Kluyveromyces lactis: one gene and its partners. The protein of the gene in region 2 binds, or shares a complex with, the protein of the main gene of each other region. Links are inferred from orthologs where the notes say so. Each region holds a gene or a part of one and is shown on either strand. Other genes may lie near its edges.

Region 1 (4,953 bases), on a different chromosome or scaffold from region 2:
ACCAGAGACACAGTGTTTATCTTAATTCTTTGAATACGGTTTTCGATTGCATTAAACCGTCATCTTTGTTTTCATGAATTGCATTCACCCAAAATGCCCTTGCCTCTTCATCAGCATCTGTTTCTGAGGTATAGATGTTGGAAGCTTTCAATTGTTTAATCACTGTTGCATCTGTTGATCCTGGAGAAGAAACAAAATCGGACCTTTTTGCTCTATCCATAAAAGATTCGCCAGACTCTAAATCCATCTCCAACTGTGTAGATAGTTCAAGTTCCTTTGAACTACAACCATCCGAAGTTTGTGGTGAGTTACTGAAAGAGTATTTGTCACTAAAGGCTTTACCATAAGAGTAGGATGATGAATCATCACGATTTTGTGCAGAGTAAGGGTTGAATTGGCGATAGAAAGTACTGGCACTTGGTGCATCATTTGCAGCAGCAGCCCAGATAGATGTCAAAGGTAGGGAAAGAACTACAAGCAATGTAGCAATAGAAGTCAACGACTTAACTCCTTTATTGTTCAGCGCGTAGGCGAGAATATACAAAACCGATGGACCTATTAATGTCTGAGTAGACATGATGAGTAGAATGTGAAATGAGTCAAATTGTTTCAAACCTAAATGTCTCCTAGCTCTGAAAGCCAGGAAAAGTTTCACTGATAGAAGAAGAGTGATGAAATTTATTGAACATGCAAGTAAAATAACTGCTATGTTGTAATAATATGTGTCAACTTTGTTCAATGGACTATCATACACTACAATAATAGATTTTATTGCAGTAATCATCCACATGGCTACAGTTGCAGCACCAAAACTAGCGGAGACGCCAGTCAAAATGATTCCTATCTTCCTATATCTATCTGCTTTGAAAATGACTCTTACCTGAAAGACTAACGAGACCTCAATACACGCAACCAATAGACATTGAATTAGAGTCACGGCACCGTAAAGATGTTTGTCACGGTCGCCTATCATCTGTGGGAACAAAGTTAGAGCAAAGGGAACTCCTCCAAAATTGCTCAACAAATATGATAGATATAAAGCAGATTGAACAATTGTAAGAACCAAAGAACTCTGATTTATTATGAATATCGGCGTCTTTCTATTCTTAGAGACCATCCACATTATAATCAACGCTAATCCAGCAGCGCCGATCCTTGTTCCAAAAATAATTGCTTGGGTGATGTTTTCATGGACAAGATTTTGTAGCTGTTGAAATGTTATTTCAGTCCCATCTCCGTAAATTGAACTGTATGTTAGGACGGACTGCAATGGATTATATGTCTCATTGTAGAACAATGGGTTCAAACTGGGTATCTCTTCTGACATGTTAAATAAGTTAATGCTTATTGTCAAAACATTAAGGGTACTTTGACGTAAAAATTTGAAGGATGTCAAATCAACATTGAGTCTCTCAATCTCACCTTGTATCACAGAGAGGTGCCTTTATATAGTCACTTTTGAAGTATGTTCTCTTGACATGAATAAGTTTCATGAAGGAATGAAAAAAAAAAAACCTCAATAAGTTTCAAACCCAAAGCACATTTAGTAATCTCCTCAACTTGAGGCGGTTTTTCTTCAGCAGAGACGAATGCAAAGTCTTTTGCATTCAGGATTTTATTTCATTAAATTGTGTCAAACCGGCTGTAATCTATGTGATTGCCAAAAAAGGCAGTTACAATGAGATTGGATCAACAACTTTAAACGCATGTAATCATGGGCAAAAAAACGAACAGCAAAATACCCAAAATGGTCTATTCAAAGTTAGATTGCTTTACCCCGTTTGAACTTTTGGCGAGGAAAAGGACCAGCTGAATCATCAGACTCAAAGACTAAATTAAGACTATGGTAAGAATAAATAACACTAGATGTAGCACTAATAAATAATAATGATAATAAATAAATGAGAGTCTAATCTGCTTGGAGGTCAATTCTCCGATGAATTACATATTGCTTGGACAGAGTACCACACTAAAACCTTCCAAATACATATGCTCTCGAATCCCCCTTATCTTTATCCCAAAGAGTAGAGACCAAATCTATTAGTCCGTTATTTTCCGTTTCTAAAACATAAATTCCGTAAAGACTGAAGGAGCTTCCAAGTGCCAAAGCGAATTTAGCAGCCTTGTGCCAGAATCCGAATTTTCTCTTAGGGATATAGTCAATAATGCAACTTGTTATACCTAAGTACGCATGTATTAGTATTGTACTGGCCAATAGAGAATCAATCACTGGGAAGGGGAAACCTGATGCAAAGGTAGCAGAAGACATAGCTCCATACAAAGGAACCATTGTCAAAGGAACTAACGACACTGCAGTGATACGTTCATAATCCCAGTGATACGACCCATGGAACCAATTCGGTTCTGTCTTTGGTAAGTTATCGTTTACGTTTCCGGTAACTCCGCCTGGAGGTGGTGGGATTAACTTGTACTTCGCAAACTTACTGGAACTAAAAACAGCTGGTAGCCTGATACCTCTCAACTGACGATGAAGCAAAGAAGTTCTTAACATGACTGGAAGTGGCTTGTTTATCATTGATCTGGCAATCATTATGTCGTCTTGGCTGCCATCCTTACTTTTCAGGTACTTTTCGATGTATGCGAAGTGATGAGATGAGCTTAGTCAAAAAATATTTCATTTTTCACTTCATCATCGATAATGAGATTGGAGCAAAATTGATGAGATCTGAAAAGAATACAGAAGATGCAGAATAACCAGAAAGGCAGTTATAGCGGTAGTGGTTTCTGTTAGAGGCTCTATGAATTAATTCAATCGTAAAATTTACATTCTAATTACAATGTATCGGTGACAAGTTTTTCTAATGTAAACTAAACGATGGTCGTACTGTTTACGTTTTCCTATTTTTCACTTGAAACTGTTTGTCATGCGACAAAACAAAATGGTTAAAAAGTCTGTGTCAGTGTGGAATAAACACAGAAACTGTTCCTAACTAGCTAGAAAACGATCCATTACAATCGTTTTCTGTTAGGATGAAGAACTAGTAAACCATGTCTGTACTGAGTACGTTGCAAACAAATGTCACGGGACCATGGTTTTCGATACAAGACAAGCATCTTATAAAATGTGTGGCCTATTCATGGTTTTTGTTTATACTTTTCATACTTCAGTCAGTGCTAGCAGGGTGGATATGGTATATGAATCAATGGTCCAGAATCATTTCATCAAAGTATTATTACAGGGGTATTATGAAAACTGAGAAGATTCAAACCATGGTTAATATATGGATTAATGAATTCATTATATGGAGTGTGCTAAGAGAAGATATCCAAATTATTTACGAGGGGGAAACAATCAACACAAAATGTAAGAACCAACTAATACTAAGCAACCATAGATCAATTATCGATTATACTTTGATTCAATCCCAGTTCGGAGCTGAAAATGTAATTTTCGCAGGTTGGACTCGTTTAATGAAGTATCCCAGTTTTAAGCATTTTTGGACAATATTCAGGCATGATGAGAATGACAACGTTTCGGTATCAAAGATTAAGAAGTTTTATGGGCCTGAGAATTTGGTAATATTTCCCGAGGTGAATATCTTCACACCAGAAGTTAAATTGATTGAAAGAAAGTTAATGAAATTGAAATACAAAGGATTACCTGTTTTGCATAACGTTCTATACCCCAGATTTGGTACTTTCGTAAATCTGATCAAAGCTTTTTCAAACAGCAATGACAGAAAATGGTGTCGCATGTTGGAGTACCTTATTCTTCCGACAGAACCGATATTACGTGACTCAATGAAGTTACTAGATTTAACTTTGGTTTATTACAAGATCACGTTGAACTCAATGGGTGAGTATAAGTTGGAGCAAACAATTCCAGCTCTATGGGACATATGGTCGTTGGAATCACCAATGATACTATGCATCCACGCATCGTACCATGATGTTGATAAACTCACTAAAAAGAAACCCAAACAACTAGAAAGTTGGCTAGAAACCCAGTGGTGTGCTAAGGATAAATTGATAGATACCTTTGAATTGAACGTGGAGATAGTCTAAAAAATGATACAATATTGTATGTGTACATTCCGGGTTGATGGTATTGCGAGAAATATAATGAGTTCTGTTTCAGGTTTTAGCTATTTATTACATTACAACAGGAAATTGGAATGTAGGACGTCATTTATGCAAGGATCAATAAGTATTAGTTTATTTATTCTAAATGAGTTTTTGCCAATTCGGATGCCAATTCATCGACGGTTTCATCCTTAACAAATTGTGTTGGTTCCCACACGTCTTCTTCCTCGGCGTCTTCGTCTTCACTTTCTTCCTCTTCTTCGGAGTCAATTTCTTCCAAATCATCCAATTCATCTAATTCGCCGTCGAACAAAGTAGGTAATATCGATAAAGGATCGGAATCCTCTTCTAATCTATTACCATTCAATTCCAACAATTTCAATGATGGTAAGTTACCATCTTGTAAAGCAGGAATTAATAAATGTTCTAAACTCTGTTGAGTTAATTCATTGTATTGCAACTTCAAAGTTTCTAAATCGTCGAATTTATTCTCCTTCAAAACTTTCAAGACTGCATGAGAACCAGGACCCTTCAACAAACAATCGTTCAAGTTCAATTCCTTTAGTTGAGCCCAATTAGTTAAATATTTTGCAAGTGTCTCTGATGCAACAGCAGTGAATGTATTATCTTGCAAATCTAATACATGCAAGTTTTTGTTGTGAGATAGCCCATGTTTGATCAAATTAATACAACCCTGTGGTCTAATTCCGTTTTGGTATAAACGAACAGCATGTAAATCATCACCATGAGCTCTTAAACCTTGAGATAGCCAACGCGTGGATCCATTTTCTAATCTATTTCTGCCGCAGACAAATGTTTCCAACAGCGATTCACCAGCCTTTTCCTTATTTTTGGCAAGTTGATATAAGGCCTTACCGATTCTTTCTCCCGCAAATGGACCCATACCGT
Region 2 (4,732 bases):
AACATGCCTGGACAAAACGACAAACATTGAACTTACAGCATCGAAGACAAAATAAAACAGAGGATATATCAGCACCGATAATGTCATCTGACGTGGAAATTATATCCGATTTGGTTAACACTCAGATCTTTGTGAAACCTGGTACATCATGGGACCATCTGGGCCAAAGATTGAACGAATTGACCGGTGTTGATGTTCAAGACATGAAATTGGTGATAAATGGCAATGCACAGAACAGCAAGTATTTGAAAGATCTCAAAGACCAGAAAGTAGAGAAAATCCAGTCCATAAAAGTGATAGACACCAACGAAAACAGTTTAGCAAGCCAATTGAAAAATGATTTGCTACATGCTAATAGCGATGACGTTTCGTTCCGATACACCATGGACGATTATGAGAACAGAAGGGATTCTGTATTACAATGGAAAAAAGATAACAAGTTAGGGAAATTTAATCCTGAATACCGCTCTAAGATGGAAGAACAACTACAACTGAATATCGATAAGGCAGAACTATTACAAAAACACGTTGGAGAAAGATGCAGAGTACTGTCCAACGAGGAAACAACGACCGATTCCACCAAGGTCCCCGAAAGAAGAGGATGGTTACGATACGTGGGAAAAGTTCAAGAGATCAGTAATACAGATGTATGGTGTGGAATTGAATTTGACGAACCTGACGGTAAGAACAATGGTACATTCCAAGGAACGAAGTATTTCGGACCAGTAAAAAAGAATTACGGCGGGTTTGTGAGACCTGCCGTTGTTGAAGTAGGTCCTCAATTCACGCCATTAGCTGACGATGAATTGATGCTCACAGATGATGAGTTATAGGGAGTTGATAATTTACATAAGTTTAATTATATTCTCGTCCTTGGCCTCGTGGATGATACTCTGAACTACGGAAATGACACCTGACACACACGTGACAGGGTCTACTACTGAATGAATTCGTAATTGGTTTGAGTCGGGTGTTGTGCCGTAGCTGGTAAAAAGGCCACGTTGCGACTTCGGTTCGAATCTTCCTCAGAACACAAAGTCTCTGTTCATATGAACCTGGTTACAAAAAGATCAAATATGGCAATTCATTTCCTGTTCTCAACTTCATACTAAGCCCTTGAAGCGCTTCAAAGAATATTCACTCTTAAGTATAAGGTGGATGCTCGTTACTTTGAAGTGTTTTGAGAAGAGGTCATGTGATTTGAATGTTCTACTTGATCAGAGGAGTTGTTCTCCTCATTCCAGGTGGGAAATTCGGTGGAACGCAGCTGTCCGCTCGCCGAGGGTTCAAACCCCCGGTGAGTTATAATCAAGCAAATCCCTAACGGGATTTTCGCTTCGTGAGAAGGTTGTTTCTAATGGAACTTCAGCTTGAGCCCTATTGTCGTTGTTATAATAAATCAAGTCGCCAGTTCTTCTCTAATGGAGACCACGTGACATGGGAGGGACAACGGACGGACAGTTTAGCTTGTCATTTACGACAATGCCTAGTTGAGTGCAATGCAGGGAGTCTGCAACTTACGCAGATAACACAATACCGATTACCTTGTGTCTGAGGAGCATCTTTTTTTGGCCAGTCATATGGCAATGAAATGCAAACCTTTCTATATACAGAAACAGAATGAATATACATGGGAGAGATAGTCCTTAAAATCTATGGTAATCGTAGTAGCTACGATAAAATGTTATGATATAATGTTATAATATAATGTTATAATATAATGAAGTATGTACAGAATAAAATTTGAGGTTGGTAGGGAGAATTTCTTCTTTAAACCTTTTAACGACCCATGGTTTGATTCATGGCAGCATTTTGCTCTTGGAAACGTTGACCCACACGTTCACTGTGTTTCAAGAACTTTTCTGAACATCTCATTATACAGTTTTGTTCCTTAGAAGTAAGCTTAGCGGATGTGAAGTCGTTGACACAGTCGCTGAAACATCTTTCGACCAAGTTGGAGTATAGACGCATGAAATCCTTCATTTGCTTTTGTTCCACGATTTTTTGGAACTCTTGTTGTTCCTTACCATTAAGTTGATCCATTGTGTGCTTGCTTCTTTTCTTATCCGGGGTATATGATAATTAATCTTACCAATTGGATGACAAACAGTCTGGAGGAAGTTTGAGAGGGCTTATCGCAATGGTTGTAATGGTTTAAAACTCTTTTTCGATGATGTAGTTTCTGGTTTTTAAATCTCACATAATGAAAGAGAGAGAGAGAAGCAAACAAAAAATTTTCAGTTCAATACAACAGATCACGTGATCTTTTTGTAAGATGAAGTTGAAGTAGTGTTGCACCGTGCCAATGCAGGTGGCTATTAGATTAAATATGTGATTTGTTCTATTAAGTTTCCTGTATAATTAATGGGGAGCGCTGATTCTCTTTTGGTACGCTTCCCATCCAGCATTTCTGTATCTTTCACCTTCAACCTTAGGATCTCTACCCTTGGCGAAAAGTCCTCTGCCAACAATGATGATATCTGATCCACCACTTACAACTTCGTCGACGGTTCTGTACTGCTGACCCAATGCATCGCCTTTGTCGTCTAAACCTACACCTGGGGTCATGATTAGCCAATCAAACCCTTCTTCTCTTCCTCCCATATCGTTCTGAGCAATGAACCCAATAACGAAATCTTTATCACTCTTTGCAATATCAACGGTACCCTTAGTATATTCACCGTGTGCTAGAGAACCCTTGGAAGACAATTCAGCAAGCATCAATAATCCCCTTGGTTCTTTGGTGACCTCTTGCGCACCTTGTTTCAAGCCAGCAACAATACCAGCACCAGTAACCCCGTGGGCGTTGGTGATATCAGACCATTCTGCGATACGGTAAACGCCCGATGTATATTGTAATTTGACTGTGTTACCGATATCGGCGAATTTTCTGTCCTCAAATATCAAGAACTTGTATTTCTCTGCCAATGCTTTCAATGGAACGACAGTACCCTCATAACTGAAATCATCCAAGATATCAACGTGTGTTTTCAAAAGGCAAATGTATGGACCCAACGTTTCAACAAGTTTCAATAGCTCATCAGTCGAACGAACGTCAAGAGAAGCACACAAATTGGTCTTCTTTTCATCCATTAAACGTAAAAGTTTCGATGCAACCGGACTTGCATGAGTCTCAGCTCTACTGGTATATGATTTTGTGGACATGGTGCAACTAATTGACGGGAGTGTATTGACGCTGGCGTACTGGCTTTCACAAAATGGCCCAATCACAACCACATCTTAGATAGTTGAAATGACTTTAGATAACATCAATTGAGATGAGCTTAATCATGTCAAAGCTAAAAGTGTCACCATGAACGACAATTCTTAAGCAAATCACGTGATATAGATCCACGAATAACCACCATTTGATGCTCGAGGCAAGTAATGTGTGTAAAAAAATGCGTTACCACCATCCAATGCAGACCGATCTTCTACCCAGAATCACATATATTTATGTACCGAGTACCTTTTTTCTATCTTCCAATTGCTTCTCCCATATGATTGTCTCCGTAAGCTCGAAATTTCTAAGTTGGATTTTAATCTTCACGCAGGATGACAGTTCGATGAGCTTCTGAGGAGTGTTTAGAACATAATCATTTATCCATGGTCTATCTCTTCTTGTCGCTTTTTCTCCTCGATAGAACCTAAATAAAACGATCCCATTTAGCATCCAACACTACTTTTTGCTTTGATATAGTGTCCAGTTTCACATATTGACTATACCCTATCGGAGTTTTGTTCAAGTGATCATTAAGGGGAAGAGACAGTGATGTCTTCTGATGCCAACAAGAGATTGGAAGATGTTTCAGATAAAGCAAATGTCAATTCATTATCAAACCAAACCTCTTCTCTTGTGGGTGCTGCTACTGCTGGTGGAAGATCTATGGTGTATCAACTAACATCTTTTTACATGAGGACTCCGTTAAAATTGTTCAGACCAGCTAGATTTGACTATACTCATTACATTCGAGTACTTCTTACAGGTAGCGATAATACACAGTCCGAGACAAAAGTACGAAGTTCGAGGTATCGGTTTTGGAATCCAAAGTATACTTATTATTTGGAGAACTCTTCAATCGGAATCGTCACTAAAGCATTGAACAGATATGGTTGGAAAGTCATACCTGACAGAATTTTACCGCCATTAGTAGCCAATTCGCTGGCGGGAGTTGTGCTATACACTACTTATTTAGCCACTTTGAATAATTTTCCGTTGAGGGCTACAGATCAAGCTTTTCAACATAATATGTTTGATTTTTTAAGAGCAGGATTCCTTGCAGGTGCTGCACAAGCCATTGTCTCAGCTCCAATAGATGCCATTTATACAAGAGCAAACATTGATGAACTTTTATCCAGCGCAAAAAAATATGATAATCTATGGCTTTATAGTCGTGATAAGATCAGAGAGATTGGTTTGATTGGCTGCTTTGGTGGGTTTGGATTATCATTCATAAGAGAATCCTTTGGCTTTGCATTGTATTTCACTACTTTTGAAATGATCAGAGGACCAATTCGCCAATTGATGTTAGATTTTATCAAGAATTATAGGGAACTAAAATATACGGTGCAGAACACAAGACTCTCGGATATATTTTTCGATGAAGATGGTAATAAGATTGAAACGAAGAAACCAAGGTTAATTTCTCCTAAAGAGGAAATGTGGTATTCAAGAGTTTTCATTTTTATTGGAGGTGTTACAGCAGCTTTTGTTCTTCAATCGGTGCAATTC
Region 3 (4,485 bases), on a different chromosome or scaffold from region 2:
AATTTTGCTCAATGAGATCATTTGCCCTTTTATTTTGAATGAAGGGATCATCCTCGTTCTCATAGTTTCCTGTACTTGCGACGCAACCCATAATGCTTAATTTCTTGCCGGCCAGCGTCAGTTTCTTTCATTTGTTTCATTTTCCTTTATAGTTCACGTTTTCGCCGTAGTTGGCACGATGTGGCCAATCCGTCTATATATATGTTAATATTAAAAGGTAACGTAGCAATATTTACTTTACATTCCTGATTTAGCATTGCATAGCCTTTATCATAGGAACCTCAAAACATGATGAAGCTTTGAGTCAAGAACCTCAACTCAGATACCCTAGAAATCTCACAGAGACGACAACTAAAATCAAGCTCAATTGGAAAATAAAACAAGCAAGTAAAAAACAAACAAGCACTTGACACTGTTTAAGGGTTTGCTTCCTTTTAAAAAACATTCCTAGCAACGTCCCTGTTTCAGATTTAGGTTGAAGTCGCTCTGCAGGTAATTACTGCACCACAATATGTTAACGGTGGCTGCAAGATCGATTGCTATGTACAACGGAGAGCTGTCTCCATCTGGAGGTCAAGTCACGTGAGAAACAAGGATGTTTGTCGCACATTCGGGTAATGAAATGTCATCTCCCGTGGATATCAATTTCATTCTGAAACTTCATCAATTTGATATCAATTGAAAAGAAATGAATGAAATGGAAAAGTATGCAGAACATGCGAATACAGGAAAGCTTATTCATGCGCATTTCATCAGGATAGGCTTGAACGCAATAGTTCGAAATATAGAAGCAACATCGTTGGCGGCTTAAAGGGGATTCGCGACTGTTTAGAAGCTAACTGTGGAGTGCAAAAGAATGCCAGAACAGCCTAAGTGTCCTGTGGATGACTCCACGAAGGAAGTGTGGTTGAAACAACAGAGCACTAATAATAAGAATGAATCAGCAAAAGCACTACCTCCAAATCATCCACCGGCTAGTTCTGAAGGGTCAGGAGTTTGTCCGGTAGACCATTCTTCCCAGGATGTATGGCTGAAAAACCATCTACAGACCGTTAATGGCTCTGCTGGCGGTGCTGCAGTTGCAGCAGCACCAGCACCAATCATATCGATCATCACTGAGGATGTCGAATGTTCAAGTGATGAGATACCTGAACACCCGAAATATACCACAGCTGTTAATTTGCCAACAGAGAGAGAGAAATCCTCCATTCCTAGAACCGGAACATCGGATAATTGGGTTTATCCATCAGAGAAGCAATTCTTCGAGGCAATGAAGAGAAAAAATTGGGATCCCGAAGCTGTGGATATGAAAGCCGTTGTTCCCATCCACAATTCCGTTAATGAAAGAGTATGGAATTATATCAAAATTTGGGAAGACGGACAAGGGGGAGATGTCTGTGGTGGCATCAAATTGACTAGTTTCAAAGGCGATTCAAAGAAGTTAACCCCAAGAGCATGGTTTAGATCCTCAATCCTTGGAATGACCAAACCTTTTGATAGGCACGATTGGGTCGTCGATCGCTGCGGGAAACAAATAGATTATGTCATCGACTTCTATTCGAATCCAGAACCTGAAAAGAACCACCTTCCTCCAATATATTTGGACGTTAGACCAAAAGTGAATACTTTTGAAGGTTGTAAATTACGCGTTATGAAAATGCTAGGATTTTAAAGACAGAAGGGATCGTCCAAATTTTCAATCCTAAGGGAAGATAATGGACAAAAACACATCACGGTATTAGCAAATACATTTATATCTCTATATTTATCGGTTTGATCGAGATACACAAACCTAATCGTTTGGTACTCCGACATTACCTCATTTTTAAAACTCTGTAAATAGATAATTAATATATATATATAATATATTTGTATATACAAAATTTGTCATATATGTACATGATAAAACGTGAAAAGTTGCGAAAAAGATTATGCACTAACGTCCCGGCTTAAGCTTCCCTCATCGGGTTTAGAATTTACCTGGAGAGAAAGCTTGGCCTAGCTGTTGCATGTTTTCACCAACCTTAACGTTAGTTTCAAAGTACTTGGCAACACATCTGTCGATACAAGTAGATTCGTTCTTGTTTAGTTGACCATCGTTATAAATTTGTTCAATACATTTCTTGTGACAGTTGTCGACCAACTTGTTGAACATGTCAGTAACCAAATCTAGTTCAGCTTCAGCTGCTGATAGCTTTTGTTGAGAAGATAATTGAGGTTGACCGCCTAGACCGAACATTTCTTAGAAGATGATTTTTATATGTTGTTATTGTAGGAGTGGTATTCCTGTGGCTATGAATAGAAGACTAATCACTACGATAAACTACGTCAATAAATATTTACAGATCAAACAACAGTCTAGTTGTCAACGCATTTAACTGCTATTAGTTAAATTTTAGTGAACTGCAATTCCTGACGAATAGTTGCTATACTGAAAATTTTCAGAAATATGAGGAAATATACGTTACCCGGTCACATGCACGTGATTTGGACATGTATTGATTTGACAGAGGGAGCATTGACCTATAGTAGTCATTGAACCTTTGGAACTACCGATTCTTGCAATTATTTGGTACTTATGAGGATTGAGTTCTCATTCGTTGTAATTATATATGCATGTATATCTTACTTTCTTTCTCTGTTAAAACCTGATATATTGAAGACAGATAACTAGTCAAAGAAATCATCGTCTTCATCGTCATCTTGATCCACACTAGATGATGCTGTTCCTTTTTCTCTTCTATCGAATATAATACGTGTAGTATTGCGCTTTTGCTCATCTCTTCCGACTGATTCGAGGATTCCAACGATGTCCTGCTCTGTTAATTTGTTTCTAATAGCACCGGACCGCACCATTTGTAGTAAATAAGCTTCTACTGCCTTTACACGTTCTGGCCGCACCAACGCTACCCTGCTCAATCTTTCTTGTGCATTGGAATCCAAAATCTGATTCAATATCGCTTGTGTTTGACCATCATTCGATCCGTTGTTTGCTGATTCTGATGTTCCTCCACTTTGTTGCTTCAATTCCCTCAATCTGGCCTCTCTAATGGCTCTCAATTCGTCGTCCATGGTTGCTTCTATTATTTTAATGTGACTGGTGACGCCTCAGCCTGTTCCCGTAACTATATACATTTTGATTCCATTATCATTGATATAGCTGGTATGTGTATACGACTTCAACTATCGAAGGTTCGTGATATTGGAATACAGAAAAAAAATAAAAAAGTGCGATACAAATTTAATTGAACGCATCTAACAATTGAATTAAATTATGGTTCAACGCGAAACAACGAGTAGGGGAAAGTACCGGCTAAAAAAATTACGTGCCAGTACATCTACTTTCCGGCTTCATGACAAAAAATATGGAGGTAACGAGGCCCAAACGGTCAGGTACTGCCAATGTGGATTATAATCTGAAAAAGAGACGGATTATTCCAAGTGATGATTATCCAACGAAAAGTACATCCTCAATATCTTCATCACCGTCCCAAGAACCATCGACAGAACCTATTGGACCAGTCATTCTTAAGGATAGTAATGGAAATATAACGTTTCAGGAGCCGCCAGTGCATGATCCAATAAATGCTATGACAGGGACGCCATTATCTCAGAAGCCGAAGGGATCGAGTAACAACAACAGTAACAATAATAATAGTACCAATAACATCAATAATAACGACAATGATGATAGCAATAATAGAAGTGGTAAACACAGAAATGGTAACAATAAGAAGAAGAAATCCAATATATTACAGGCATTAAAGAGCAGCATGGAGGCTAAATATGAGGGACAACTACAAACTGAAAAATCAAATGAATTGACCGTACAAAGTCATGAACGCATAGGAGCGAACACTCCCACTAAACACAACAAAAATTCAGGAATTAAACAAGAGGCTGACTCGGATTTTATGCTACAGGATCCTATACGAAATTCGCCCAGTAAATCGATAGCACTAAAAATGGCGAAAAGGTTGAAATCTACCAAGGATAAAGATACCAAGTTATTTGGACAAAATGATAAAGCTTCTCATTTACATATTCCAGAAATTGATCCGGATAATAACAAGGAAAATGACGATTTTTGTTCCAACTGTCATGGTCCTGGGGTGTTCTTATGCTGTGACACTTGTCCAAAATCTTTCCATTTTGCTTGCTGTAACCCACCTTTGGATCCAAGCCATCTACCAGAAGGTGATTGGTCTTGTGATGAATGCCGATTCAAGCAATGGATCAAGTCTAATAAATACGGACTGTCCTCTGAAAAAAAGTTGAAAACAAGGTTTTTACAAGACCATTTCAAGCAACCCGGGTATCAGTTATTCGGTACTCTAACATTTGATCTTCAAAGGAAAAATCCGTTCCAATTTCAATTGCCGTCTATTATCAAATCAACGTTCGATTCGGTCTCCTCGGGGTCGCAAGGAGAATATCGTGACGAACACTTTAAAGAAAATATCAATGAAAAACAAATTTTTCATT

What was found. Proteins that work in one complex are often made in the same cells at the same time.
Region 1: the proteins of TIM9 (region 2) and TIM18 are in contact, whole or in part, in a cryo-EM structure (PDB 6LO8), measured with the Saccharomyces cerevisiae proteins. The link is inferred for Kluyveromyces lactis from reciprocal best matches to the Saccharomyces cerevisiae genes TIM9 and TIM18. Residues at the interface, in NP_010894.1 of Saccharomyces cerevisiae: Asp42, Thr44, Thr45, Ser46, Lys47, Leu48, Thr49, Asn50, Lys51; in NP_014940.4 of Saccharomyces cerevisiae: Val105, Asn107, Pro108, Glu165, Thr166, Lys167, Asn168, Asn169, Lys177.
Region 3: the proteins of TIM9 (region 2) and TIM10 are in contact, whole or in part, in a cryo-EM structure (PDB 6LO8), measured with the Saccharomyces cerevisiae proteins. The link is inferred for Kluyveromyces lactis from reciprocal best matches to the Saccharomyces cerevisiae genes TIM9 and TIM10. Residues at the interface, in NP_010894.1 of Saccharomyces cerevisiae: Glu17, Gln18, Gln20, Met21, Phe24, Met25, Tyr28, Ser29, Asn30, Leu31, Val32, Glu33, Cys35, Phe36, Thr37, Val40, Asn41, Asp42, Phe43, Thr44, Thr45, Ser46, Lys47, Leu48, Glu52, Gln53, Ile56, Met57, Ser60, Glu61; in NP_011869.1 of Saccharomyces cerevisiae: Gln16, Gln20, Leu28, Lys35, Asn39, Lys43, Cys61, Arg64, Cys65, Ala67, Lys68, Tyr69, Glu71, Thr72, Asn73, Gln75, Val76, Gly77, Asn79, Met80, Met83, Phe87.

What each region holds. Positions count from the first base shown.
Region 1 is NC_006042.1:2,329,862-2,334,814, reverse strand, and holds TIM18 (Tim18p), read right to left. Parts: upstream 2,552-4,953; coding exon 1,970-2,551; downstream 1-1,969. Other genes in the region: alpha-factor pheromone receptor STE2, read right to left, coding at 17-1,327; MUM3 (Mum3p), read left to right, coding at 3,010-4,026; GTPase-activating protein RNA1, read right to left, coding at 4,181-4,953. UniProt on the Saccharomyces cerevisiae protein: Component of the TIM22 complex, a complex that mediates the import and insertion of multi-pass transmembrane proteins into the mitochondrial inner membrane.
Region 2 is NC_006041.1:2,033,428-2,038,159, reverse strand, and holds TIM9 (protein transporter TIM9), read right to left. Parts: upstream 2,044-4,732; coding exon 1,780-2,043; downstream 1-1,779. Other genes in the region: ALF1 (Alf1p), read left to right, coding at 81-833; URA3 (orotidine-5'-phosphate decarboxylase), read right to left, coding at 2,362-3,165; KLLA0_E22749g (uncharacterized protein), read left to right, coding at 3,773-4,732. UniProt on the Saccharomyces cerevisiae protein: Mitochondrial intermembrane chaperone that participates in the import and insertion of multi-pass transmembrane proteins into the mitochondrial inner membrane.
Region 3 is NC_006042.1:2,402,203-2,406,687, reverse strand, and holds TIM10 (protein transporter TIM10), read right to left. Parts: upstream 2,240-4,485; coding exon 1,970-2,239; downstream 1-1,969. Other genes in the region: GPA1 (guanine nucleotide-binding protein subunit alpha), read right to left, coding at 1-91; cytochrome c1 heme lyase CYT2, read left to right, coding at 857-1,672; SDD2 (Sdd2p), read right to left, coding at 2,671-3,072; RCO1 (Rco1p), read left to right, coding at 3,354-4,485. UniProt on the Saccharomyces cerevisiae protein: Mitochondrial intermembrane chaperone that participates in the import and insertion of multi-pass transmembrane proteins into the mitochondrial inner membrane.